Linked DNA regions of Ovis aries. The protein of the gene in region 2 interacts with the protein of the main gene of each other region in a pairwise test. Links are inferred from orthologs where the notes say so. Each region holds a gene or a part of one and is shown on either strand. Other genes may lie near its edges. The genes, in order: RNF40, UBE2I, TRIM38, SETDB1, PIAS3, HNRNPC and E3 SUMO-protein ligase ZBED1.

What was found.
Region 1: the proteins of UBE2I (region 2) and RNF40 interact in a two-hybrid assay, tested with the Homo sapiens proteins (2 studies listed by BioGRID). The two-hybrid records come from large-scale screens. The link is inferred for Ovis aries from reciprocal best matches to the Homo sapiens genes UBE2I and RNF40.
Region 3: the proteins of UBE2I (region 2) and TRIM38 interact in a two-hybrid assay, tested with the Homo sapiens proteins (2 studies listed by BioGRID). The two-hybrid records come from large-scale screens. The link is inferred for Ovis aries from reciprocal best matches to the Homo sapiens genes UBE2I and TRIM38.
Region 4: the proteins of UBE2I (region 2) and SETDB1 interact in a two-hybrid assay, tested with the Homo sapiens proteins (2 studies listed by BioGRID and IntAct). The link is inferred for Ovis aries from reciprocal best matches to the Homo sapiens genes UBE2I and SETDB1.
Region 5: the proteins of UBE2I (region 2) and PIAS3 interact in a two-hybrid assay, tested with the Homo sapiens proteins (2 studies listed by BioGRID and IntAct). The link is inferred for Ovis aries from reciprocal best matches to the Homo sapiens genes UBE2I and PIAS3.
Region 6: the proteins of UBE2I (region 2) and HNRNPC interact in a two-hybrid assay, tested with the Homo sapiens proteins (2 studies listed by BioGRID and IntAct). The two-hybrid records come from large-scale screens. The link is inferred for Ovis aries from reciprocal best matches to the Homo sapiens genes UBE2I and HNRNPC.
Region 7: the proteins of UBE2I (region 2) and E3 SUMO-protein ligase ZBED1 interact in a two-hybrid assay, tested with the Homo sapiens proteins (4 studies listed by BioGRID and IntAct). The link is inferred for Ovis aries from reciprocal best matches to the Homo sapiens genes UBE2I and ZBED1.

Annotation. Positions count from the first base shown.
Region 1 is NC_056077.1:27,407,019-27,410,518, reverse strand, and holds part of RNF40 (E3 ubiquitin-protein ligase BRE1B), read right to left. Parts: coding exon 3,284-3,500; intron 3,198-3,283; coding exon 3,080-3,197; intron 2,955-3,079; coding exon 2,805-2,954; intron 2,617-2,804; coding exon 2,404-2,616; intron 2,324-2,403; coding exon 2,198-2,323; intron 1,107-2,197; coding exon 966-1,106; intron 873-965; coding exon 771-872; intron 1-770.
Region 2 is NC_056077.1:1,566,025-1,569,995, reverse strand, and holds the start of UBE2I (SUMO-conjugating enzyme UBC9), read right to left. Parts: upstream 2,801-3,971; 5' UTR 2,687-2,800; intron 2,323-2,686; exon of another isoform or gene 2,083-2,322; intron 1,860-2,082; exon of another isoform or gene 1,779-1,859; intron 1-1,778. UniProt on the Homo sapiens protein: Accepts the ubiquitin-like proteins SUMO1, SUMO2, SUMO3, SUMO4 and SUMO1P1/SUMO5 from the UBLE1A-UBLE1B E1 complex and catalyzes their covalent attachment to other proteins with the help of an E3 ligase such as RANBP2, CBX4 and ZNF451.
Region 3 is NC_056073.1:30,919,585-30,923,084, forward strand, and holds part of TRIM38 (E3 ubiquitin-protein ligase TRIM38), read right to left. Parts: intron 3,392-3,500; coding exon 3,161-3,391; intron 2,230-3,160; coding exon 2,207-2,229; intron 2,112-2,206; coding exon 1,999-2,111; intron 1-1,998. UniProt on the Homo sapiens protein: E3 ubiquitin-protein and E3 SUMO-protein ligase that acts as a regulator of innate immunity. Acts as a negative regulator of type I interferon IFN-beta production by catalyzing 'Lys-48'-linked polyubiquitination of AZI2/NAP1, leading to its degradation.
Region 4 is NC_056054.1:100,911,274-100,913,780, forward strand, and holds part of SETDB1 (histone-lysine N-methyltransferase SETDB1), read left to right. Parts: intron 1-615; coding exon 616-785; intron 786-1,303; coding exon 1,304-1,932; intron 1,933-2,507. UniProt on the Homo sapiens protein: Histone methyltransferase that specifically trimethylates 'Lys-9' of histone H3. H3 'Lys-9' trimethylation represents a specific tag for epigenetic transcriptional repression by recruiting HP1 (CBX1, CBX3 and/or CBX5) proteins to methylated histones.
Region 5 is NC_056054.1:99,195,480-99,199,570, reverse strand, and holds the start of PIAS3 (E3 SUMO-protein ligase PIAS3), read left to right. Parts: upstream 1-1,291; 5' UTR 1,292-1,389; coding exon 1,390-1,413; intron 1,414-3,276; exon of another isoform or gene 3,277-3,324; coding exon 3,325-3,742; intron 3,743-3,900; coding exon 3,901-3,985; intron 3,986-4,091. UniProt on the Homo sapiens protein: Functions as an E3-type small ubiquitin-like modifier (SUMO) ligase, stabilizing the interaction between UBE2I and the substrate, and as a SUMO-tethering factor.
Region 6 is NC_056060.1:24,263,353-24,266,852, forward strand, and holds part of HNRNPC (heterogeneous nuclear ribonucleoproteins C1/C2), read left to right. Parts: intron 1-1,178; coding exon 1,179-1,339; intron 1,340-1,892; coding exon 1,893-2,006; intron 2,007-2,248; coding exon 2,249-2,409; coding exon of another isoform or gene 2,410-2,478; exon of another isoform or gene 2,479-2,508; coding exon 2,509-2,592; 3' UTR 2,593-3,500. UniProt on the Homo sapiens protein: Binds pre-mRNA and nucleates the assembly of 40S hnRNP particles. Interacts with poly-U tracts in the 3'-UTR or 5'-UTR of mRNA and modulates the stability and the level of translation of bound mRNA molecules. Single HNRNPC tetramers bind 230-240 nucleotides.
Region 7 is NC_056080.1:6,131,382-6,135,594, reverse strand, and holds the start of E3 SUMO-protein ligase ZBED1, read right to left. Parts: upstream 2,801-4,213; 5' UTR 2,718-2,800; coding exon of another isoform or gene 2,609-2,717; intron 1,956-2,608; exon of another isoform or gene 876-1,955; intron 1-875. Other genes in the region: dehydrogenase/reductase SDR family member on chromosome X, read right to left, coding at 2,609-2,717.

The DNA.
Region 1 (3,500 bases), about 26 Mb from region 2:
TCCACATCAGCCCTTCGCTTTGTCCTCCCAGACAGCCTCCCCAGAAGTCCCACGAGTAAGTACCTCATCCTCAATATACTTGAGACATAACTCTCCAGCCTAAAACCCTTGGATGTCTCCACACTGACTACTGAATAAACCAAGAATCTCAACCTGGCTCACTAACCTTCAGGATGGCCCCTCCCCACCCCCCAGGCTTGTGACTCATCAAAAGCCCAAGTTCTGTCCTCTTAGCTACCGCTGTCCAGCTGCGCCTCCAGCACGCCTCGCTCAACTAGGGGCCTCCACCTCCACCTCTCCGTTTGCTGGACCCTTTCATCTCCATCCCTCATGGCCAACCCTGACTCTCTTCCGTTTTCCCCTGGAGGCTATGCCTTCAGGAAGCTGGCTGACCGTGCCCCACTCCCCACTGTGCTCAGGGGCTATTAAGGGCTTCCCCTGACTGCCCCCAACCCCTCTGGCCTTTGCCATCACACTGCTCATCACTCAGAGGGAAGAATTACTTGGCTGCCTCCTCCACCAGACTGTCAGTTTCAAGAGACCCAAGGTCAGGTATAGGTCCCACTCCTCCCACACTCAGCACTCTACCTGGTATGGAGTATATGTGCACCACACTTGAGAGCTCTCTTGATTCTCCACAATGGATTCTGCCCAGGTTTTGCTATCCTACCTTATTTCTGGGTTCCCCGGACTACCCCCTGGAGCTCTCACCAACCCCCAATCTGAGATTTCCCAGGTTCACGGGGCAGAACTTAGCTCCACAGCCCTACCTTGTATTCCTTGATCTCCTCCTGGAGGATTTCATCAGCGTCTGCGTAAACTTCCACCTTCCTCTGCTTCTCCAGCTTGCGCCGCAGCCGGGAGATGTCCTCCTGGGGCAGGAGAGGGGGCAGTCTTGAGTGCAAGGGTCCTCAATCCAAACCTGCTGGCCCCGGCCCTGCCTCCACCCCCTGCCGACCACACACCTGAGCCCTCTTGAGGTTGAAGCTCTCCTTCTCCCGCGCGGCCCGGCTCTCGGCCAGGCAAGGTTGGATCTCTCGCAGCCGTGTCTGCACGTGCTCCAGCTGCACCTTCAGGTCCTCGGCCAGTTGCGCTGCTTCCACAGCCTGAGGTGGGTGGAATGGGGAGGAGGGGCACAGCTGGCCTGAGCCTGGGGAATCAAGTGTGTGGAGCCATGGCCCACAGAGGCTTATGTCAACTGTCCAGTGGTTCCTGCTCTTGGGAGTAGTCCCAATATGTTCACTGAAACCGATTGTCTCCTGACCCCACCAGCCTCACCTCCTCGTCTTCCTCATTCCCAGCACTTCTGGCTCCTGACCTGCATAACCCTCTCTCCTGTCTCTGAGCCTCCACAGGGTTCTCTGCTCCCCTCAACTCCGCCAACACACAGACTTTTTCTCTGAAGTTCCCTGAAGCCTCAGCTCAAATGTCACCTCCTGAGAGAGGCTCTCCTGTTTTCCTTTCATACAGTTCTATTTCCTTCATAAGACATGCTGTGAGTTTCCTGGCGGTTATGTGGTTAGAATTCCGGGCCTTCACTGCTGCCGTGCATTGCAGCCAAACAAAGACATGCTGTGATCTGAAACAGTGTTACTTAATCTGTGGGATTATCGGCTTGCTCTCTGCCCCTCCTAACTGGAAGCTCCCACTTCCAGCAGAGGTGATTTGTTCTTGTGATCTCCCCAGCACTCAGTGCAGTACTGGTACACAGCAAGAGCATGACTAATGCTGCTTAAACGAATGGACCAAACAGAGAGAAGTCCAGGAGAAGAAAAGAGATGAAAATCCATGTTAAGCCTTTACTATGACCTGGAGGAGTGATGTCATTCCTAACTCTGTTCCCCTCAGAAGAACAACTACCACGAGCTAGAGACATTTCTTAGGGTTAATACAACTATGTAACAGAGACAGCTAAACAGTGCAGTGGTCAGGATATGGGCTGTGGAGTCAAGGAGAGCTGGGCCCAAATTCCACTTCCACTCTTTCTTGAGCAAGTCAACTACCTCCCTAAACCTCAGCCTTCTCCCTCACAGAAAAGGAGATAACAATGAAAACTGCTGTAGGATTACTTTAAGGCGAAACATGACCCAACAGGGAAAGTCCTCAGCACAGGGTCTGGCACACATTAAGTGTCTGAGAGTGAACGGGGCTGTGTAGGGCAGCAGAGCCAGGCCCTGGCCCAGGTCATCTGCCTCACCTTCCTCTTGTTGAGCTCCAGGGCCTGGCTGCGCAGTGTCAGCTCCTTCTCCACACCCCCAAGGCTGCCCTGCAAGGCTCGCTCCTTTTCCTCCAGCTTCTGCACGGTCAGCAGCTGGGCATCCACCTGAGGACAGGAGTGGGGCCTCAGTGCTAGGGAACCCCTGCCTCTCCAGTCCCACCCTACCAAGCCTGGGGCAGCCCTACCTGGGACTTGAGGCCAAGAACCTGCTCGCCCAGCTCATCCTTCTCCTCCCGCAGCAGCTTATGAATCTGGTTGGCTTTGATCCGCTCTGACATCAGCTTGAAGTTGGCGTCGTCCTTTTCTCGCAGCTGCTGGAGCAGCCGCCCGTTTTGTTCCTGCATGTCCTCAAAGGCTTGGCCTGTCACATCCATCTCTGACAGCAGGGCCTCCTCCTCCTGCAGCAAGTGGGCAGGGGCAAGATGGAACGTGGGAGACGGACAAGATCAACTATGGGGAAACCGCAGGAAAACACGGCTGTACAAAGACCCCCAGAGTGGACCCAGGCCATGTGCTAGACCAGGAGGTTTAAGGAATGCCAACATTCAAAGCTAGGGGAGGGGTGGGGTGGGGTGGGGGGTCGCACCTGCTTGGTGGCACCCAACTTGCGCTGCAGGTGTTCGATCTGCTCCTCTGCCTGACGAATGCGCCGCAGGGCATCCTCGTCCGCAATCTTCTTGCTCTCCCTCCGATCCCTCTCCTCCAGCTCCCGGATGCGGCCCCGGAGTTCATCAACCTATAACCTCCAGGAGGGAGCTCTCTCATCACTGCTTCCTGCTAACCCAGGGCTCAACTCTGGTCACCGACTCCCTGCCCTGGGGCAGCCTTTTTGCACATCCCACAGACCCTACCTGTCCTCACCTCAGCCTTGGCCTTGCGTTCCGCTGCCATGAGCTGCACCTTATCCCGCTGTTCCTTGGGCGCAGACTTATACATGTCCAGCAGCAATTTCATCTCCTTCTGGCTTTCCTGGGCCTTCCTGGGGGAGGCACAGGAGGAAGGCTGGGTGAGTAGGGCTGGAGGTCACTGGGCAGGGGTGGGAGGGAGAAAAGAACAGGACCTCACTTGAGCTCTACTCGGAGACCTTTGAGAAGTTCTGATTCCTTTCTCTTGGCCTCTTCCACTTTGGCCTTCTCCCGATCAGCCCTTGAGAGAGCCGAGGCTACAGATGGGGGTCCCAGAACAGGCCCTTCTCGCTCCCGAAGCTCCCGCTTGGGTCTGGCCTCAGGTTCTCGGCCCCGGGAAGAGGGTCCCTGGGCCCCCGGGGTCAAGGCCTGCGTCT
Region 2 (3,971 bases):
CAACACAAGGGAAAGCGAGCGTGAAACTCTAGCTCCCACGCAGGAGGCCTGGTGACAGGAGCTGCTGCCCGGCTCTGACCACTGAGGACACTCTTCAAAGGCTCTAACCCTGCCCAACCTCAAGATCAAGTCCCAAGCAAGAAGGCCCACACCCCAAAGAGAATTTCTCTTTGCCACCCCCGAACCTCCAGTCCTGGCCCGCTCACCTCCTCCTCATCTGTGGACCTGATGGACAGGACCCTGTCTGGGGTCTCCTTCCCTACACGTGCACACCCATCTGGTATTTTCATTCATTCATGTGATATAAGTTGAAGACCACAAGTGCGGCTGCCCGAAGGCTGACGTGGGCGTGCTGGTGCCCCTGGGTCCTAGTGGTGGTTGCTGGCCACCTGGGCACTGCCTGCAGCACCAGACTGTCCACAAACAGGACAGAGTGGGAGATGCTGGGGTCACTTCCCTCAGGTGGGGAGCTGGCAGAGCAGAGGGGAGTGCCAAGCAGCTTTCAAGTCCATGGGAACATGAGGGCAGTAATCCTGAAGCCTGAAAACCCTTCACTTCACATCACCCTTCTAAACAGAACTTGCCCCCGCCTCATCACCAGGGCAGATGGGAACGCCTCTCCCTCCCCTGGTGGGGGCTTAGGGATGTGCGGAAATCCTACAGGAGCCCCTCACGGGCCAGGACCACCTCTAAACTGTCCCACACGGGAGCTCAGTGGCAGAGACAAGCAGCCTGGCTCTCCGTGCACTGTGAAGTTCCTGCTGAGTCTGCGCTCAGCAAGGCTTCAAGACTGGTTCCTGGAGCCTGGGCAGCACATGGGTTCTGGAATGGGCAAGCTGGCACTCGAGGGCTCTGGAGCGGCATGGCTAGGCCAGGATGTAGAAAAGGCCGGTGGGGTGATCCTCAGTGCCGCATGCCTGCTGACCGCATGCCAGGACCCCGCCACAGGCCACCTCTTCTACTGACAAGGAACAAAGCCGCCTCAGCAGACCCTGTTGGGGCGCCAGCTGTGACTGTCTCAGGTGCAGAAAGTAATGGGAGGGGTGTCCCACAAGAGCTGCTGCAACCCCGTCCTTGGGGGTGAGAACCAAACTGGGCACCTGAAAGACAGATGCTGCAGCCATGGCGGAGTCACAGGCGCACACCTGCCCCCGCCCAGAGAGAGGCTGGCCTCGCTGCCCAGGAGAAAGCAGCCAATTTGCTACATTTTAATTACAACACGGAACCACTCCTTCAGCATCCCACTTAGAATCCAATCAGCTTTTCCCAACTGACAGGGAGGCACTTAAGGAGCTGTTAAGTGTGCGCAGTCTTCAGGGCAGCAAAATCACTAAGAGGCAAAGATCGGGTATCTATGACCTGCTAGAGACAGCCTGAAGCACAGGATCCGGGTCTGGGGCAGACCCTTGAAGTCTGCAGCCACCCTTCTCCAGCGTGGGCTGTGCTTGAACCCACGCTTCTCAGATCAATCTCTGAAGCCACTTACCGGCTGCAGGTGAGGGCCAACGGCTTCCCTCTTCCCCTTCAACCTTCTCACCGGTAAAACGGGCGATAGCACTGTGAGCCCAGAGGTCGGCCCAGGATGAAACCGATAGAGGCTCGCGGCCCTTGGTGGGCTTTCCCACCCAAACGTAAGCTCGCCAGGAGAAGGAAGGCACTGGCTTCACCTGCGCTCAGGAGATCCTCCAGCCCAGGGGCACTTCCCTGGTCTTTCCTGACACGCCTCCCAGGACGCCCAGCTGTTTCCAAAGCAAGCCCAAACCCCCAGCGAGACTCACGTGCAGCACGATGCAGAATTCACCCCCAACCCACCCAAAATCAAGTCAGCACAAACGTGGGCTCCTTCTCCCCCTGCTGCTGGGCAGGTTCTCCGTCCAAAGGCAGTTTCCTTGGGAGCAAGAAACACAGAGGACCACGGGCTTAAGAGCAGACCAACGAAAGCCAACTCCGCAAACCGGGGAGAAACTGCCAACGGAGCTTGTTTTCAAATCGTACAAACCAAACCAGTTACTTCTGTGATTCAAGGACAGCTGCTGGCCGTTACCATCAGCCCAGCTAATCATTCCCTCGCCTTCCTCTTACTCGCGAAAACTATCAGCTCCAGCCGCCGTGCAATTGGTATAAAGCGGTCTTGGGACGAGATCTCCCCGTCAAGGGAAGAGCGAACACTCGGTGGGTCCCCCGCAACGGCGAGCGGAGCTCGGAGGCGCAAGAGCTCTGGCTTGTTTTCGTTTCCAGGCATCACACGCCACCCCCAAACGCGCCGGCGCTCCTGCAGCGCGCGGCTTTGCACTCTTTGTGCAGCGCGTCCTCTACCAGGCTGGAACGCGCCACAGGTTCGCGCGCAGACCGTGACCCCGGAAACGCTCCGCCTGAGCGGAGGGCTTGGCGCTCCTGTCAGCGCGGCCCGAGCCGAGCGCGCCGTCGGCCGCCCCGGACGCGACTCGCCCCGAGCGCGCGCCCGGAGAAGACGCCCCCACCTCGCGGGCCGAGGCCGCGGCGGGCCGGGGGCCGGGCTACCCGAAGGGAGCCCGGCGGGCTGGCCCCCGCCGCGGCGTCAGCAGCCCGGGGCGGGCCGGTCCCCGGGAACGGGCCGGGCCGCGCGCGGAGGGCGCCTGCCCGGCCGGACCCGCCGGCAGCGGAGTTTTGGGCCCCCGCGGCCCGGCGCCCGCCCCGCGGCGCTCACCTCGGGCGGCCCGGCCCGGCGAGCGAGGCGTACTAGGCGGCGGCGGCGGCGGCTGCGCTCCCTTTGTCTCGGGACTTCCCTCCCGAGCCCGCTCCGCGCGCAGCCCGAGCGCTCGAGGACCCCGGCGCGGGCGGGGCGGGGCGGGGCCTGCGGGGCCTGCCCGCCGCGCGCCTGGCTCGCACCCCGCCGCCGCCACCGCCAGCCCCGCGCCGCCCGCGCCGCCGAGCGCCGCCCGCTGCCCGTGTCCCGCCGCCGCGCGCCCGCGCCCCGGGCCCCGCTCGGGAGCCCGGCCCGGAGGCGGCTTTCCAGTCAGGCGGCGCCATGGACACCTGCGTCCTTAAAGGGGCCGCGTCCCGGGTGTGAGGGAGCGTCTGCAAACTCCCCTTCGCGGGGCACTGTTCCTCGCGAGGACCGGCCGGGTAGCGGCGGGGAAGCAGGGCGGCCGAGATCTCCCCGGGCTCTCCGGATGCCCCGCGGGCACCTCCCCAGGCAGCGGTCCCGGAGGTCTCCTCGAGGCTAGGGCCCGGGGCGGAGGAGCAACGACCACTGAGGCCTAGGGATCCCCCAAGCGTCGCAGCACGGTGACAATCTCTCGCCTACGGCATGCTGTGAAACCCCTTGCGATTGGCCAACTCGGGGCCCTGGGCGGGGCATCCGTCTAATGTGCCCAATGAGCAGGCCCCGTACACAAGACCAAGTGCGGGCCCGACCGACGGGAGGAGAAGTGCAGACGCTCCCTAACCCAGGGGCTGGCCTGGGGGGAGGGGCGCCGGGTGGTCCGGGCGGGTGGGGGAGGAGCAGGGGCAGGGCTAGGCCCCTGTGGCCGGGGTCTCAGGTCCGCCCCGAACCCACGCGCGAACGCTTGTCCTTCCCGGCCACGCTGGGCGCCTCTCCGTCTAGCGGCCCCCGACCCCCGTCCCCTGGCCCAGAGTGGGAAAGAGGGAGCGTTCCAAGGTCAGCCCCTCCGCCCGTGGGCTCTTTGGGGTCAAGTGGCGGGAGGTGACCGCCCCCCCACCCCGGCCCCCAGCTTGCATTCATTCACCCCTTCGCCCTGGGTCTCCTCCTTCCTCCGTTTCCTTCCATCCTCCCCACCCTCACCCCCGGCAGCCCCCTATTTGGCACTGTACTGAGACTATTGGCCTCCAGGGCAGACCGCCCAGCACCGCCCCCCCCCCCCCCGCCCCCGCAAGGCTAGTGTCCCAAGGCCCACGTCTGGGCCAGAGCTCTCAGCAGGTGTTCAGCGCTCCCAGCCCGTCTGTTACAGTGAGGATGGTCACTAGCCCTG
Region 3 (3,500 bases), on a different chromosome or scaffold from region 2:
CTTATCTCTCCTGCTATTCTTTGAAACTCTGCATTCAGATGGGTATATTTTTCCTATTCTCCTTTGCCTTTCCCTTCTCTTCTTTTCACAGCTATTTGTAAGGCCTCCTGAGACAACCATTTTGCCTTTTTACCTTTCCTTTTCATGGGGATGGCCTTGATCACTGCCTCCTATACAATATCATGAAACTCCATCCATAGTTCTTCAGGCACTCTGTCTATCAGATCTAATCCCTTGAATCTATTTGTCACTTCCACTGTATAATCATTAGGGATTTGATTTAGGTCATAGCTAAATGATCTAGTGGTTTTCCCTACTTTCTTCAATTTAAGTCGGAATTTGGCAATAAGGAGTTCATGATTTTTGCCACAGCCAGCTCCCGGTCTTATTTTTGCTGACTGTATAGAGCTTCTCCATCTTTGACTGCAAAGAATATAATCAATCTGATTTCTATATTCATCCATGTGTAGAGTCTTTTGTTGTGTTGTTGGAAGAGGATATTTGTCACGACCAGTGTATTCTTTTGGCAGAACTCTATTAGCCTTTGCCCTGCTTCACTCTGTACTCCAAGGCCAAATTTGCCTGTTACTCCAGGTATTTATTGACTTCCTACTCTTGCATTCCAATCCCCTGTAATGAAAAGGACATCTTTTTGGGGTTTTAGTTCTAGAAGGTCTTGTAGGTCTTCATAGAACCATTCAACTTCAGTTTCTTCAGCATTACTGGTCGGGGTATAGATTTGGATTACTGTGATATTGAATGGTTTGCCTTGGAAACGAACAGAGATCATTCTGTCGTTTTTGAGATTGCATCCAAGTACTGCAATTCAGACTCTTTTGTTAACTATGATGGCTACTCCATTTCTTCTAAGAGATTCTTGCCCATGGTAGTAGATATAATGGTCATCTGAGTTAAATTCACCCATTCCAGTCCATTTTAGTTTGCTGATTCCTAAAATGTCAGTGTTCACTCTTGCCATCTCCTGTTTGACCACTTCCAATTTGCCTTGATTCATGGACCTAACATTCCAGGTTCCTATGCCATATTGCTCTTTACAGCATTGGACGTTACTTCCATCACCAGTCACATCCACAGCTGGGTGTTGTTTTTGCTTTGACTCCATCTCTTCATTCTTTCTGGAGTTTTTTCCTCCACTGATCTCCAGTAGCATATTGGGCACCTACCAACCTGGGGAGTTCATCTTTCAGTGTCCTACCTTTTGCCTTTTCATACTGTCCATGAGGTTCTCAAGGCAAGAATACTGAAGTGGTTTGCCATTCTCTTCTCCAGTGGACCACGTTTTGTCAGAACTCTCCACCATGACCCATCCATCTTGGGTGGCCCTAGATGACATGGCTCATAGTTTCATTACCCTCATTAGTGTTCATACTCTTATGGAATTCCTTCCCTTTGATTGTGGGCAGGACCTGTGAATTGTTTCCAACCTGTAGGCTATGGCAATAATGATGAGATGTGACTATATTTCACTCTATAAGCCTCTCTCTTTCTGGCAGACTTGCTCTAGGGACTCTCTCTCCCTGTAGCTTACTTTGCAGAAATAATTGGCCGAGGTGGGAGGCCCAAGTGCAAGCAGCTGAAGGGTGGCTTCTAGAATCCAAGGCAGCCTCCAGCCAGTAGTCAGCAACAAGCTAGGGCCCTAAGTGCCAAACCCAAAAGAAATAAATTCTGCCAACAACCTGAGTGAGCTTATAAGAGGATTCTTTCCCAGTCTCACTTCCAGATAAGAACACAGCCAGGCCAACACCTTAGCTGCAGCCTTGTGAGACCCTAAGCAAAGGACCCAACTGGGTCTGCACAGATAACCAGTATCCCATGTCCCTGTCTAAGCACTGGAGAAAACTAACAAGGGAGAATGACAGCTACACTAAAGATACCTGAATAACCTCTCTGGCTGTGAGCCTGCCTGGGGACAGGTGATGAACTTCATTACCACTTAAGGTCCCGTCTATCTGTAGCATTTAGGGCTTCTTCACATACCTTGATGTCTCCTTAACATTTTCTTTACATCAAAGTAAAGCTCAGAAACATTGCACACAGTATGAAGGTCCAAAGAGAGGGCCTCTGGTTGTTCTAGCTTCACAGCCCAACTCCTAGAATAAGCAGAAACCAAAACTTCTTCAGTGTAAATTCCATTTAACTCTGTATACCCACACCTCTTTCCCTCCTGAACTCATATAGGACTCACCTGCTCAAAGTATCTTTCACATCCTATGAAGAGACAAAGACAAAAGATAAGTGTGGGAACATCAGTATTTCATGGGACTTGGCATGTGAGGCTGTTCTCTCTAATACTCCTTCCAAAGAAGTAAAAAAGACTAATCCTGGACTTAGATATTGATGAATACCTAGAGATGATGATTTCCATCCTGGCCCCATGGAATAGTCAGCATATCAGGGTGTTTACTTTCCTTGCTATGTGGAAGAAGGCCAGGAGCTTTGTCCCATGCTCCCTCTGGAAAGACTTGCTTTCAGTGACCTCATTTCCTTCAGAGTGAGCCCATATTAGAGACACTTATTGCAAAGGTCCAAAGTAGTGAACCCAGGCTTAAGCCCTGAGACTGGGCCACTATGGTGGTAGCAGCAGGTATCACATGGTGGTAGGGCATCGAACTACATTCTCATCCTTACAGGGTGACCCCTAGTTCTGTTAGTAGGAACAGGATAAAACAGCTACAGTCATAGTTTAGTTTATTGTAATGGGCTGGATCCAAAAGAGCTCTGGAGGGCTCTACAAGCAAATCAAGGAAAAAGTAATCACTCATTTTGACTGTCCCACTTTGTCACCCATCAGTCATCTGAAGGGGTATTTCAGCAGACACTTTCACAGTCAGAGTTTTGTAAACATGGTACAGAAATAAATGGTAGCCAAAGTTGTCCCATGGTTCCATTTAGCCAAGGAGCCCACTATAGCCATATTATTTCTAATTCAGCTAAAGGCACTCTATAGACTGGTGGGGGCCACCTTGCAAACATTGATATGTATCTAAAAGGAACATTAAATTTAAATTCCCTACACTAATGTGCCATTTTTGAGTGAAACAGGCAAGCCTCACCAAGCTTCCCATGGTTCCTCACCATTCTCCTGCTGAAAGGTCAAGAACAAATACCTTCCCTCCTTACTCCAAGTGCATGGTCTTACCTGAAGCAATTTCTGGGCTGAGCACTGACATTTATTCTCTAGCTCCAGGATGTGGCTCTGGAGTTCATGGTTCTTCTGTTCAAGATTGGCCTCATTGTCCCTCAGTCTCCTCAGAGTTTGCTCTTTTTCTTTCTCCAGTTTCCATAGATAAGACTTCTCTTCCTCATGAAGGAAGCTCTGGAGAGTCTTAAAGTCAGACTGGATTTTTTGTTTCCGAACCTCTATCTTCTCCTTGAGTTAGGAAAAGTGGAAACAAACCAAATGCCCATTGATGGATGAACTGATATGCAATCTATAGATACAGTGGAATACTATTCAGTCTTAAAAAGGAATGGCATTC
Region 4 (2,507 bases), on a different chromosome or scaffold from region 2:
ACTGGCTCTCTCTGATTAACTTCAATAGTTTATTTTTTAAATAATTAAGTTGTAATACCTTGAACTAGATAGAAATGAGCTCCCTGAGAGGAGAGATCATGACCTTTTCCATTGCTGTGTTCCCACTGTCTAGTACAGCTCTTGGTGTTTAATAAATGTTCGCTGAATAAAAGAATGAAAATCAGTACCAAAAGCAAGAGTCCCATGAACTTCCAGTTCCTCATCTTTTGCTCCCTTTCAGTGTCTACTATATGGGCTTCTGATTTCCTTAAATATATTTTATTGTATCAGTTTCTACAAGCTGACTTATTTTAACGGCTCTTAATCTATATTCACATCCTGGTTCACTTAGCTTTTCTCCAGATGTTAGGCATTCTTTTATTCACTGTTGCTGTCTTTAGTGCTATATCTGTATTAATCACTTTTCCCCCTTCTGAGTTATTTCTTTGAGCTATATTTCCAAACAAATCGAAGAGCATAGACAGTTCAGTAAGTCTACTTATTTAGATCATCGCCTGATAAATGATGACACCTTAAAAATTGTAACAGTTCTGTGAATATAACAGATGCTCTAGTGATCATGATATGATTGATTTTATTGTGATCTCCTCCCAGAGTTTATGAGTGTAACAAACGCTGCAAATGTGACCCTAACATGTGCACAAACCGGTTGGTACAGCATGGCCTGCAAGTTCGTCTGCAGCTCTTCAAGACCCAGAACAAGGGCTGGGGTATCCGTTGCTTGGATGATATTGCCAAAGGCTCCTTTGTCTGTATTTATGCAGGTTGGTGATGAAAGGGTTTCTTTCTGGGGTTAGAACATGGTGGAACGTTGAATCAGAGACAAGTTGAATTTAAGAATAAAATGCTTAACCTGTGAACTAGGAGAAAGAAGACAGGATTTTCTTCTATAAAGAACATGAGTGATGCCCCTGTCTGGGTGAATCCGGAAGGGTCAAAAGTGCTTCAGGAGAACAAGAATGAAAAGGGATAAAATTGTGGACATGTTTCAACAGAGAGAGACATGGTTTTAGAAAAACTGACATGTGTCATTTTTTTCCTACATCACTCCACACAGAGATTTAGCATAACTTAGGAAGAATGGGGTGGCAGAACGGGCAAGATCTAAAGCTCCCCTTACTCTCACCGTTAAGACACTAAGGAGGAGGTATCATCAAAGAGAAACAAGAGACCATAATGAATGTTATTTGACTCTATAGTATGGGGCTGGGTATTGATGAAATGAATTTTATTCTTTCTAAAAGCTCCTCATAACCCTGGAAGGCTTTCTCTTCATTCCCAGGGAAGATCCTGACAGATGACTTTGCTGACAAGGAGGGCCTAGAAATGGGTGATGAGTACTTTGCCAATCTGGACCATATTGAGAGCGTGGAGAACTTCAAGGAGGGGTATGAGAGTGATGCCCCCTGTTCCTCTGACAGCAGTGGTGTAGACTTGAAGGACCAGGAAGATGGCAACAGCGGTACAGAGGACCCCGAGGAGTCCAATGACGACAGCTCAGATGACAATTTCTGTAAGGACGAGGACTTCAGCACCAGCTCGGTGTGGCGCAGCTATGCTACCCGACGGCAGACCCGGGGCCAGAAGGAGAATGGATTGTCTGAGATGTCTTCCAAGGACTCTCGCCCCCCAGACCTAGGGCCCCCACATATTCCTGTCCCTCCATCAATCCCTGTAGGTGGCTGCAATCCACCTTCCTCTGAAGAGACATCTAAGAACAAAGTGGCCTCGTGGTTGAGCTGCAACAGTATCAGTGAAGGTGGCTTTGCTGACTCTGATAGCCGTTCATCCTTCAAGACTAGTGAAGGTGGGGAAGGCCGCACTGGGGGAGGCAGAGGGGAAGCTGAGAAGGCTTCCACCTCAGGGCTGGGCTTCAAGGATGAGGGAGACATCAAGCAGGCCAAGAAAGAGGTAAGCAGTGGCAGGGAACTCGGAGAATTGTGGCGGTTATATAAGTTTGATGTGGTGACAAACTTAATGCAATCTCACCATGAGACCATGAGTGCTTTTGTTATTGTTTTTGACCATACCACATGGCTTGGGGATCTTAGTTCCTTGACCACGGATCGAACTTGTATCCCCTGCAGTGGAAGCACAGAGTTCTAACCACAGGATACACCAAGGAATTCCCTCACCATGAGTCTTCATATGCAGATAATTTATTTGATGGATTTCTATGGCAAACCTGATTAATCTTCCCCCTAATACATTCCTATGGTGGTGTGGTTGCTAAGTCATGTCTGATTCTTGCAACCCCATGTTTGTTTAAAGAACCAAATTATTTTACAGTCAGCCTGCTGTGGGGAGAGTACCTGATTCATTCCAAAGTGGAGGATTTAAAAATAATTTTTTAAAACTGCTACCTCAGTTTATCTACATCGTTGCTTTCATTATAGTAGAAAAACAAGAATTGATCTTAACGTATTTTTAATGATGTTGAAACTTACCACATTACAGGTGGTGAACAGTCCCCTGTCCTTGGAATA
Region 5 (4,091 bases), on a different chromosome or scaffold from region 2:
CAAGGGAACTGGGTCTATGGCTTTGGAGGAAGGAGAGTAGGCAGTTCAGAGAGAGGCAGAAAAATTGCCCTTTCTCGGTGAGAAAACCTCCCCTCCATTCACCTTCAACTACATTAAAGCTCTTAAGTCTCTGGTGACAGTCTGTGTATTTGAGGTAGGGAGTAGGGGACCACAGGTGGAAGTAGGGTTTAGGTACACTTCGGATTTTAGCAGTTCATGTTTTCTTTCCCGTAGGGAGAGACTCACTGTAAGTAGCTACCTCTTTAAGCGATCGGATTTCTGGTCCACACCGTCTTATTTGCAGCTTACTTCCACTCAAAACACATAGAAGGGTTTGCTTGCAGGGAGTCAGAACAGTAGTGAGAATGGTGAAATCAAAGAACGTCTCTCCCATCCACTCCCTAGAGGAGTTAATTTCTCCTCCGCAGGCTCAGAGTCCCGCCCTCTCCCGTCTCAGACTCCGCCCCTCCCCACTTCTCCGCTGTCCTGGCGGGCTCATCCAGGAGGGGGCGGCCCCAACCCTAGCGCTGGGCCGGGCCGAGCTCCCGCCCGGGCGGAGCTGCGGCTGCAACGTCCAGCTGCCGGACCGACCTCCAGCCGTGCAGACCTTGGGAGCAGCGCCGGGCCCCCTCCCCCCCATCTCCCCAGCCCACCCTCTGAGCGTCCCGAGTCCCCTCCCCGCTCCCTGCAACTGTGCTGGTAAGTCCCACTCTCGGCACGAAACTTTTTTGCTGGCGAATTTGAGCCCTGCCGCGGGACCATGAAATACAATGTAACCGGGGCGGGGGGAGGGGGTGAAGAATTGAGAATAGCCGTCTTGAAATAAACTATTTACGACTCCTTGGCGTCCCTAAAATGGATCAGGTCTCACCCATTTCCCGAGTTGGTGGAACTCTTGAATTTGGCTGGTTAAACTTGTAGATAGGGAAACGAGGGGGTTTGCTCCAACTTCGCTTCCCCCTCCCCCATTTCTCTGAGATTAAGCCCTTCTCGAGACTTTTCCCTCCATATCCCAAATATCTTTGGCTTTCTCAAAGCTCATCCCTTCCCGACTCCGGCGTGGCAAGGCCCCCCTCCCCCATGTACTTCGGGTTCACCTCCTCTCCCATGCCACCGGGGACCCCGCGATCCTTCGGGCGGCACACTCCCTCCGGGTCTACGGGTCTGGCACCGCGGCCAAAGACGTGCAGCGGCTGGGTCCGGCTGTGGAGGGAGGGGCTGAGGCCGGGGTTCGTCCGAAACCCGGCGGGCGGGGCCGGGAAGGGGAGGTGTAGGGGGCCGGACGGGGCGGAGCAGGCGGCATTTGCGGCCGGCGCCGGGGTGGAGAGTTGTGCGCCGGTCCCTGGGCCTGAGCTCCGGCTCGGGCTCGGGCGCCTGCGATGTCTCAAGATGGCGGAGCTGGGCGAATTAAAGGTACCGGCCCCCTCCCCCATCCCCATCTGGACTGAGCCGGGCTGTACGCCGAGTCTGGGAAGCGACCGAGACTGGGTGCTGAGGGCTCGGGTGGGGGCTGGAGACGTGGTGGGGACTGGCTGCTGGGGATGGAGAGAAGTGGCTGTGGCGAGGAAGGGGCTGCGTGGGGCTCCGGGGGCGGGGCCGCGGGGCAGATGTAGGGGTGGGGCCGAGGGGAATTGCAGCTGTTGGGGGCCGAGGCTCAGGGGGCGGGGACGCGGGGTAGAAGTCGAATTTGGTAGTAGGGGCAGATGTAGGGGTAGGGCGGGGAGGAAAAGCTGCTGTGGAGGCACAGCGGGCGAGTCGATCGAGGCCTAGAGAGGTGACAGTAGGGGGCAGGTGATGGGAATGGGGCTGGGGGGCCGATTACCGGGAGGCTCCTGGGGGAAAGGCGCTGAGAGGATAGTGACTTTGGGGCTGCTGTTGGGATCTGAGCCTTGGGAAGTACCAGTAGGTGGCTGAGATCTAGGGGGCGGGGCTGTACGGGGATAGATCGAAGGGGTGGGGCAGAAGCATCCTGGAGGCTGAGAGGAAGGTCCTGCCTTAGTGAGTCGGTATCTCTGGGCAGAGAGAGAGAAGTGTTAGACTATGGGATTGAAAAGAATTTCTTGACAAAGCTAATGGAGAAATAAAGACAGGACCGAGGAGATAAGGATGAGGGTAAAGGTAGAGGAGCAAGTTTTTAATTATATTCCTCAAAAGGGGCCCAAAGCCATAATGCCTCCATAAGAATTGCAGATGATTAGCAAGATTGGCCCGTGGCAGGGTCTCCTGGAGATTCACAGAAGTGAGTTCTTTAAGCGGAGAGCTTACCACTACCAGAATCTTGAGGATAAATAACCATCTTGCAGAACCTTTAAAAACCATGGGGTTCACCCCCTTGCTCCTGGCTTTATTCTGCCTTTTGAAATGGAACCAGAGTCATGGGAAGGCCTGAGGTCTAGTCACTGGTTCCAGTTTCCTAGGAGAGCATGCAGTTCTGCAGTCTGGCTCAGGGGCTGATCACCTCCCTATTCTTCCAGGGGCTCTCTTTAGAGCTTTCCCCTCGTTTCTTCCACCCCTGTGGAGGAAGGGAAGAATCACTTACTTTCTCTGGGTAGGAGAGAAGCAGGTTATTAGTTCCTGGCAGATGGAGTAAACAGGTAAACAGGAAGGATACCTGGACTCCACAATTCACTGTTAACCCCTCACCCCAAGTTTTACTCCTGTTTCTCTCCCAGAAAAAATAGGACTGAGGGATGAGTAGTTATGTAAATAACACCAAGGAAAGGTTTGGGAAGTTATAAGCATTGAACCCTGACCTGGCCACAAAAGCTTGGGGAAAATAGCTGAGGTAGATTGAGGGGTGGAAAGGAGTTGATTTTGAGGCACAGTCCTCCAGCCACCTGGCCCCTTTCTTCTCTGTGGGGCTGTCTGGCCTGAATCCTCTTCTCCCCTTCCTCCCCGTCTCCTGTCCCCTTCCCAGGAGGCTAGGATGGGTCTGAGAGTCTGCGAAAGAGCAGGAGAGGAGATAAGCAGCTTAAAGGAGAGTCCAGGCTCAAGGCAGGGTGGTGGGAGGAGGCTGTAGTGGACTCAGAGGTGTGCTGTAGGGTGGCAGGCACCCTGCGCCCACATGGTCAGCTGATAAGATGGGGAGACAGGATTGTTCAAGCCTGGGGGGGTAGTGGAGAGGTGACCTGAGGGTTGCTAGGATGGGAGCTAGATGTCCTTTTGGCTAGGTGGGCAGTTTGGCAGCAATCCACTGGCTGCAAAGCATCTTTCAGATCAGTGCTGGAGGGAAAGCACATTCCCCACCTAATAGCTCAGCCCTGGTGTCTTTGGCAGGACAGGCCTGTGCAAGGTAGGATCCTCAAGCTTCTCTGATCTCCACAGCACATGGTGATGAGTTTCCGGGTGTCTGAGCTCCAGGTGCTCCTCGGCTTTGCTGGCCGGAACAAGAGCGGACGGAAGCACGAGCTGCTGGCCAAGGCCCTACACCTCCTCAAGTCCAGCTGTGCCCCCAGCGTCCAGATGAAGATCAAAGAGCTTTACCGCCGACGCTTTCCCCGCAAGACCCTGGGGCCCTCTGATCTTTCTCTGCTCTCCTTGCCCCCTGGAACCCCTCCTGTAGGCTCTCCTGGTCCTCTGGCTCCCATTCCCCCGGCCCTCTTGGCCCCTGGCACCCTGCTGGGCCCCAAGCGTGAAGTGGACATGCACCCTCCTCTGCCCCAGCCTGTGCACCCTGACGTTACCATGAAACCATTGCCCTTCTATGAAATCTACGGGGAGCTCATCCGGCCCACCACCCTAGGTATGGCTCTTTGTGGTCCCTGGGTCTTCCTGGCCTCCCTGCTTCTTCCTCAAGCCTTTCTTAGGCTTTGTCCTGTGGGCTCAGCAAACTGGAATAGGGGCCACTTCTGTGGCCCCCTGGGCACGGGCTTGGGAATAACTGCCCCTTTGTGTCCTCAGCATCCACTTCTAGCCAGCGGTTTGAGGAAGCGCACTTCACCTTTGCCCTCACCCCCCAGCAAGTGCAGCAGATTCTTACTTCCAGGTTTGTCTCTTTGAGTCCTCCTGCCTCATCCTTGGGTGGTTACCCTGAGACTCCGCTCTCTGACTTTCTTCTTTTCTTTTTTGCCCTCCTTCTCACCATTCTCCTG
Region 6 (3,500 bases), on a different chromosome or scaffold from region 2:
CACACATACTCTTAAATTAGGAAAATGTTCCTGTCATACCTACTTGCCTTGTTAAAACAGAATAGAAACATTTTTATATTGTTAAGGTTGAGCAGAAGAAAGAAATGTCTGTGAGACTGCAGAATCAATGTTCTCACTGCCAGGATTGGAGACTGTTAGCTACTGATGAGGCATATAAGAGGGAGATGCATCACATTATATAAGGGTTTTAAAATTTCATCGCTTTGAAGTTAGGTGGGGGAACAGTTGGTGGATTGTTCCTTGGCCTTGGAGTCAATAAAGTGGTTCAGAACTAGAATTATTAGTTTTTTTTCCTACTGGTACGTTTTAACTTATGCCCTACAGGCTTTCGTAAAAAGAATAACATAGAATAAAAAGACTTTCTGGAACTAATGTCCTTGTGGGAAGGTTTTTGTTTTATTTTTTTCTCTTTACAAATGTAAGCACCAGTACCATGCCATCACTTTGGTATATCTTTAGCAGTCACAGGAATACTTACTCAGTGGAAGCAGCAGTTGAAAAATATGTAATTTTTGAGAGCTAAATGTGTGCTGAGCAATGAATTTAGGCACTAGTGAATGGTGAACAAGATAGACAATATCCTCTGTTGGAGCTTTGAGCGGAGCTTATGCTAAATGTTGTTAGAATTGATAGTGGTATGTACACCCAGCTAATACATATGAAATGCCTGTTTCTATAGGCCAAAAGCAGTTAATCATGGAAGTTTTATATGGTTCAACCTAATACTATAAACTAGTGATAAATATTTGTATGCTTCTGTGGATGAAAATGCCAGGGATTTAGCTAATAAGAGCACTGTTTGCAAAGTTGGTTAATTGTAGTCATTTGTGAGTACTTTATTTCCTTATAATACTGTAGCACATATATGAAAGGAATAAGATGAAAGGCAAAGGCCATTCATTGCAAAAAGTAAGGTTCTATCAATAATGCCATTGTACACAGGAACCTTTATGTCCAGAGCTTAAGGCAACCATTGTGTGTATGTGTGCGGTTGCAGTATTAAAAAGAATAAATTGGCCTTATGAATGAAATTAACATAGCAAAAAGAATTAATTGCTAGACAATTGACAATAATATATATCATTTTATAAGGATACAGTTGTTGGAATCTTCCTGACTTCTTTGTGAAGAAATTCTGTTTTCCTTTTATCCAATAGGATGTACAGTTACCCAGCACGTGTTCCTCCTCCTCCTCCTATTGCTCGGGCTGTAGTGCCCTCAAAACGCCAGCGTGTATCAGGAAACACCTCACGAAGGGGCAAAAGTGGCTTCAATTCTAAGAGTGGACAGCGGGGATCTTCTTCTAAGTCTGGAAAGTGTAAGTATTATTACTGCAGCTTTCTGGTTCTGATATTTCTTGTATGTTGAAATTCAGAGATCAACGCAGTTAATATTCAAAACTTTTATGTTTGTACAAATAACTGTTTAATCAAATAATGGAAGATGAGAAAATAGTGATTAAGGGGTCAGCTCTAGGCAGCCTTTGTCCTTAAGGCCTTGGTAATTTGAAAAAGTCATTAGATTTTAAGGAGTTGCAACACCCATTCAGTGTATAAAATAATGTTTCTAAAACTAGAAAATGCTTTAAAATAGAATTGAGGGGGTTTTTTTTAGCAGGCTTACAAAAGTAATAATGCTGCTCCTAAGGGAATAGATTCATTAGATTCCATTTTCATCTAATAATCAAAAGATCAGTGAGGCGCCCCCCACCCCCACCCCCACGTCATTACTAGGACAGTCTGGTATAGGCTCCATTTCTCTTCAAGGATCTCATGTTGACTACCATTGTATAGTCTAGAGGGGGAATGTGTTTGGTTATCTGGTAGCTTCTAGTATATCTGATTTTAATCTAGGTTTTTGTTTGTATTAAGTGAAAGGAGATGACCTTCAGACCATTAAGAAGGAGTTAACCCAGATAAAACAAAAAGTGGACTCTTTACTGGAAAGCCTGGAAAAAATTGAAAAAGAACAGAGCAAACAAGGAGGTAAGTGGTCCTATTGCTTGTTGGGTGTAAAGTAGAGTTAGTTACCTAAGCTAGTTGCAAGTACATGTTGAAATAGTGGGGTATAAAGCAATTGAATATGAAACTTGTGGAATTTGAATTGGGAAGGGCATTTTGTGGGAGGATTTAGATTTGTGCTGCAGTTCTATGATCTGTTAGTGGGGATTGTCTACATCCTGTGGACATTACTTGCCCCTAGACAGACTTGTCCTTCTCATCCCCAGTAGAGATGAAGAATGATAAGTCAGAAGAGGAGCAGAGCAGCAGCTCCCTGAAGAAAGATGAGACTAATGTGAAGATGGAGTCTGAGGGGGGTGCAGATGACTCTGCTGAGGAGGGGGACCTACTGGATGATGATGATAATGAAGATCGGGGGGATGACCAGGTGAAAACCACGGGAAAGGAAAGAAAGAGGTGGTGGAGGGGGGATCAGGGACACATGGAGTGCCTCTAACTCCATCCTATTTGTGTCTGTTTCTCACAGCTGGAGTTGATCAAGGATGATGAAAAAGAGGCTGAGGAAGGAGAGGATGACAGAGACAGCGCCAATGGCGAGGATGACTCTTAAGCACATAGCGGGGTTTAGAAATCTTGTCCCATTATTTCTTTACCTAGGCGCTTGTCTAAGATCAAAATTTTCACCAGATCCTCTCCCCTAGTATCTTCAGCACATGCTCACTGTTCTCCCCATCCTTGTCCTTCCCATGTTCATTAATTCATATTGCCCTGCGCCTAGTCCCATTTTCACTTCCTTTGACCCTCCTAGTAGTTACGTTAAGTCTTACCCTGTAATTTTTGCTTTTAATTTTGATACCTCTTTATGACTTAACAATAAAAAGGATGTATGGTTTTTATCAACTGTCTCCAAAATAATCTCTTGTTATACAGGGAGTACAGTTCTTTCCATTCATACAATAGTTGCTTCCCTAACTACAAAGGCAGTCTCATTAGTTGAGTAGAACCTGAGAGCAGCTTTGAGTTAGAGGTATGTGTGTTATACCCCACATAAGAGTGCTGTGTGGGGCTGTTCAACACAAATGTAACAATGTATTTTTGTGAATGAGAGTTGGCATGTTAAGTGCATCCTCTAGAAAAATAACTAGTGTAATAGTCTTAAGATTTGTTTTCTAAAGTTGATACTGTGGGTTATTTTTGTGAACAGCCTGATGTTTGGGACCTTTTTTTCTCAAAATAAACAAGACCTTATTAAACCAGGAATTTGGAGAAAAAATAAATACCCTGATTTTTTTATTTTTGTATTTTATAATTGTTTACTTCAAATTCTTTGTTTCACAGCAGCCTTCACAAAACCCCTAGAATGTACTAGATAAATATCTTTGAGTCAAAATTATTATGCATACCAACATACACTTCAACTTAGGTTTCATTGGGGTGGGTGTTGAATCAAGGAGACAAGTAACTTGGATTGAAGTGGAGATTTGTTTGCAAAAATGGCTTTTAAGGCCTAATGAAAAA
Region 7 (4,213 bases), on a different chromosome or scaffold from region 2:
CTTTGCGACCCCAGGGACTGTACCGTCCATGGAATTCTCCAGGCCAGAATACTGGGGTGGGTAGCCTTTCCCTTCTCCAGCAGATCTTCCCAACCCAGGGATGGAACCCAGGTCTCCAGCTCTGCAGAAGGATTCTTTATCAGCTGAGCCACCAGGGAAGCCCCCCAAAGGCACTTTATTTGACAGTCAAACAGAGAGGCAGGGTCCTGCGGGCAAGCCACTGAGTACGATTATAATAATAAAGGGGCTCCCCTGGTGGCTCAGACAGCAAAGAATCTGCCTAGAATGCAGGAGACCTGGGTTCGATCCCTGGGTCAAGAAGATCCCCTGGAGAAGGGAATAGCAACCCACTCCAGTATTCTTGCCTGGAAAATCCCATGGGCAGAGGTGCCTGGTGGGCTACAGTCCATGAGGTCGTAAAGAGTCAGACAGGACTGAGCGACTTTCTTTTTTTTTCTTCTTTTTCTTTATAATAATAAAAACCGAGTCAAAGAAAATAGCTTCCAACATGGAGTCAGAATTGGTGACTTCCTCCCTGTAATATTTCCACATTAATTATTGTATACTGTGTGCACATTTATATAGGCCATACATACTGTTAAAAAAGAAAACATCTGATGTTTAAAGGCAAAAAACAGAACTCCCCTGGTGGTCCAATGGTTAAGACTTGGCCACTTCAATATCGGGTTCAATCCTGGGTGGGGTTGCTAAAATCCCTTATGACTCAGGGACCAAAAAACCAGAGAAACATAAAAACAGAAGCAACGCTGTAACGAATTCAATAAAGACGTTAGAAATGAAACAAAACAAAACAAAATCCCAGCTAGTCTGCATCTGAACTGGGCCTCTGGGTTACAGTTTATTTAGCTGCATACCTGGGCAAAGTTCAGTGTCTGGCCCGCCAGGATCCTCTGTCTGTGGGATTGTCCAGGCAAGAATACTGGAGTGGGCGGCCATTCCCTTCTCCACGGAATCTTCCCCACTGGGATCGAATCCTGGTCTCCCGCCTTGCAGGCAGACTGTTCGCTGTCTGAGCCCCCAGGGAAGCCCGCAACCTCCCCTGGGTGCTCTGCAACTTAGGGGCAGTGTGGGGCAAACATGGGACTGCTCTTCAGAGCCCTTCACTGTTTACAAGTCAGCCCAGGTGCCAAAGCTGCACTCTGCCTTCCACTCTGCCTTCCTCTGCAGTCTTTTCCAGTCATGCTCCGTGTGCTTTTTAAAAAACAGCACCAAAATGCAGTTTATCAGAAAACTAATCGCTTAGCTCAACATAAACCTGCGAGATGTATCTCCCCGGGTGAAGACCCAGGGAGGGTAGGAAAAAAAGTGCTCAGAGCTGCAGGTGTGCAAGGCCTGGGCCCTGCTGGGCCTTCCTGCAGGTGGAGGCACGGGAAGGCATTTGCACAAGCATAGTAACAGCCTTTCTGTTTTTCCACCCCAATCTCCCGGGGGTGGCCAGGGTGGTCAGGGGCGTTACCCACAGGCTGCCGGGTTGGGGGGGAGGGCGGTGTGGGCTATGCCAACACCCTTGAAAACCCAGTTGGACTTAAGAATCTCTGTCTCCTCTTACCCCAGATAATAAAGAGAGTCATTACAAGGTAACGGGACACCGCGCTTCCCAGAGAATACTTTGTTTCCAAAAGTAGCTGTTTTTCTCCTAAAAAAATTGACATGTCATTTACGGCACACAGACCCTAGAGTTATTTTGACACTCTGCAAGTCAAGAACAGACAGAAACACCGGTTTCCTCGATCGAAGTCCTGAGAACACCGAGGTGACCAGACAGACGGAGACTCCCTCCCAGATTGGTGGGGAAGGGAGGTGGGGGGGGGGTCCCTAATATGCGTGAAGACGCGAATGGGTCCCCGCACCGCCAAGATTGGGCCCCGAGGCTCCGCGCAGGTGGCGCAGGCCAGAGAAACCGGCGGCCACTAAACTGAAGCTCCCCTCTCCAGGGCTCCTAGACCCCCTAGAAGCCGCCTCCAGCCCCTTGGCGCGCCCCCCAACACCGCCCCAGCCCCCCAGTCCCTGCAAACCCGGGCAGGCCCCGTCCTACTGGAGCCCGCGCGGGGCCGGGATCTCGCCCCCCCGCCCCCGCCTCCCTCCGGGATGCGGGTCTGCAGAGCGCAGGGACCCCGGGGTGGGGTGGGGGGGCTCCCGCCGTGGTTGGGGCGCGCACGGATCCCCTGGAGAGACCCCAGCCCCCGGGGCGCTGGGGAGGGCGCGCCTTCCCCCAAGCCGACCCCCGCAGGCCGCCCGGCCCGGCTTCCGGGAGCGCCCGACGCGGCGCGCACGAACCTGCGACCCCCGGGCCAGGGCGCGCGGGACCCCCTGGCTACCCCGGCCCCCGGGGCGCGCGCGGAGCGGGCGGGGCGGCGGGGAGGGCGCGCCTCCTCCCCCCGCCGGGCCGCCCGGGCCTGCTTCCGGGAGCGCCCGACGCGCCCGCCTCCCCGCGCCCCTTCCCAGCTCCGCCCCGAACCTGGGGGTCCTCTGCACGGGCGGAGGGCGCGCCCCGGGCCCGGCGACGCGGGCCCCCGCCAGCCCCCTGCCGCAGCCCCGCCCGCGCCGCGCGGCCCCGGCCCCTCGCCGCCGCTCCCCGGCCGCTGACCTGGCTCCACGAAGCCCCGCACGCAGCGACGCAGCAGCTGCGCCACGACCAGCGCCGCGCCCACCGCGTACACCCGCAGGGCCGCCCGCGCCGCGGACAAAGGCGACATGGCTGCCCCGCCGCCGCCGCCGCCGCCGCCGCCGCCGCCGCCGCTTCCGCGCCGCCGGCCGGACTCGGAGCCCCGGGCCCGACGGCGGAAACGCGCCCGCGCCGGCCCGCCCCGCGCCGCGCCCACGCCCCGCCCCGCGCGCGCGCGCCCCCGACTCCCGCCCCGCGCGCGCCCCCGCCTCCCGCCCCGCGCGCGCCCGCGCCCCCGCGCGCCCCCGACTCCCGCCCTTCGCGCGGCCCCGCCCTGCGCGCACCCCCGACTCCCGCCCCGAGCGCGCCCCCGCCCTGCGCGCACCCCCGACTCCCGCCCCGAGCGTGCCCACGCCCCCGCGCGCCCCCGACTCCCGCCCCGCGCGCGCCCCCGACTCCCGCCCCGCGCGCGCCCCCGCCCTGCGCGCACCCCCGACTCCCGCCCCGAGCGTGCCCACGCCCCCGCGCGCCCCCGACTCCCGCGCCCCCGCTCCCCGCGCGTCCCCGACCCTCCCGAGCGCGCCCCCGCCCTGCGCGCGCGCCCGACTCCCGCCCCGAGCGCGCCCACGCCCGCGCGCGCCCCCGCCCCGCGCGCGCCCCCGACTCCCGCCCCGAGCGCGCCCACGCCCCCCCCCGCGCGCCCCGGACTCCCGCCCCGAGCGCATCCCCGCCCTGCGCGCGCCCCCGACTCCCGCCCCGAGCGCGCCCACGCCCCCACGCGTCCCCGACTCTCCAGAGCGCGCCCCCGCCCTGCGCACGCCCACGGCCCGCCCCCCCGCGCGCGCCCACGCTCCCCGCCCTGAGCGCGCCCCCGACTCCCCAGCGCGCCCCCGCCCCTGCTCGCGCCCTGAGTCCCGCGCGCGCCCCGACTCCAGCCCCGCGCGCGCGCCCCCGGCTCTCCCGTGCTCCCCAGCCCCTCCTGCACGCGCCCCCGTCTCGCGCGCGCGCCCCCGACTCCCACCCCCCCTGCCGAGTGCGCCCGCGCCCCAGCCTCGCCTGCCCGCGCCCCCGACTCCCGCCCCCCGCGCGCCCCCGCCCCGCGCGCAACCCCGACTCCCGCCCCGAGCAAGCCCCCGCCCCCACGCGTCCCCGACTCCCCAGAGCGCGCCCCCAACTCCCGCCCCGAGCGCGCCCCCGCTCCACTGCGCACGCCCCTGATTCCCACCTCGCGCGCGTCCCGGACTCTCCACGCGCGCCCCCGACTCCCGCCCGGCGCGCGCCCCCGCCCCGCGCGCGCCCCCGCCCTGCGCGCGCCCCCGACTCCCGCCCCGAGCGCGCCCCCGACTCCCGCCCCGAGCGCATCCCCGCCCTGCGCGCGCCCCCAACTCCCGCCCCGAGCGCGCCCACGCCCCCACGCGTCCCCGACTCTCCAGAGCGCGCCCCCGCCCTGCGCGCGCCCCCGACTCCCAGAGCGCGCCCACGCCCCAGCGCGCCCCCGACTCCTGCCCCGCGCTCGCGCCCCCGCTCCCCGAGCGTCCCCGACCCTCCCGAGCGCGCCCACGCCCTGAGCGCGCCCACGGCCCGCCC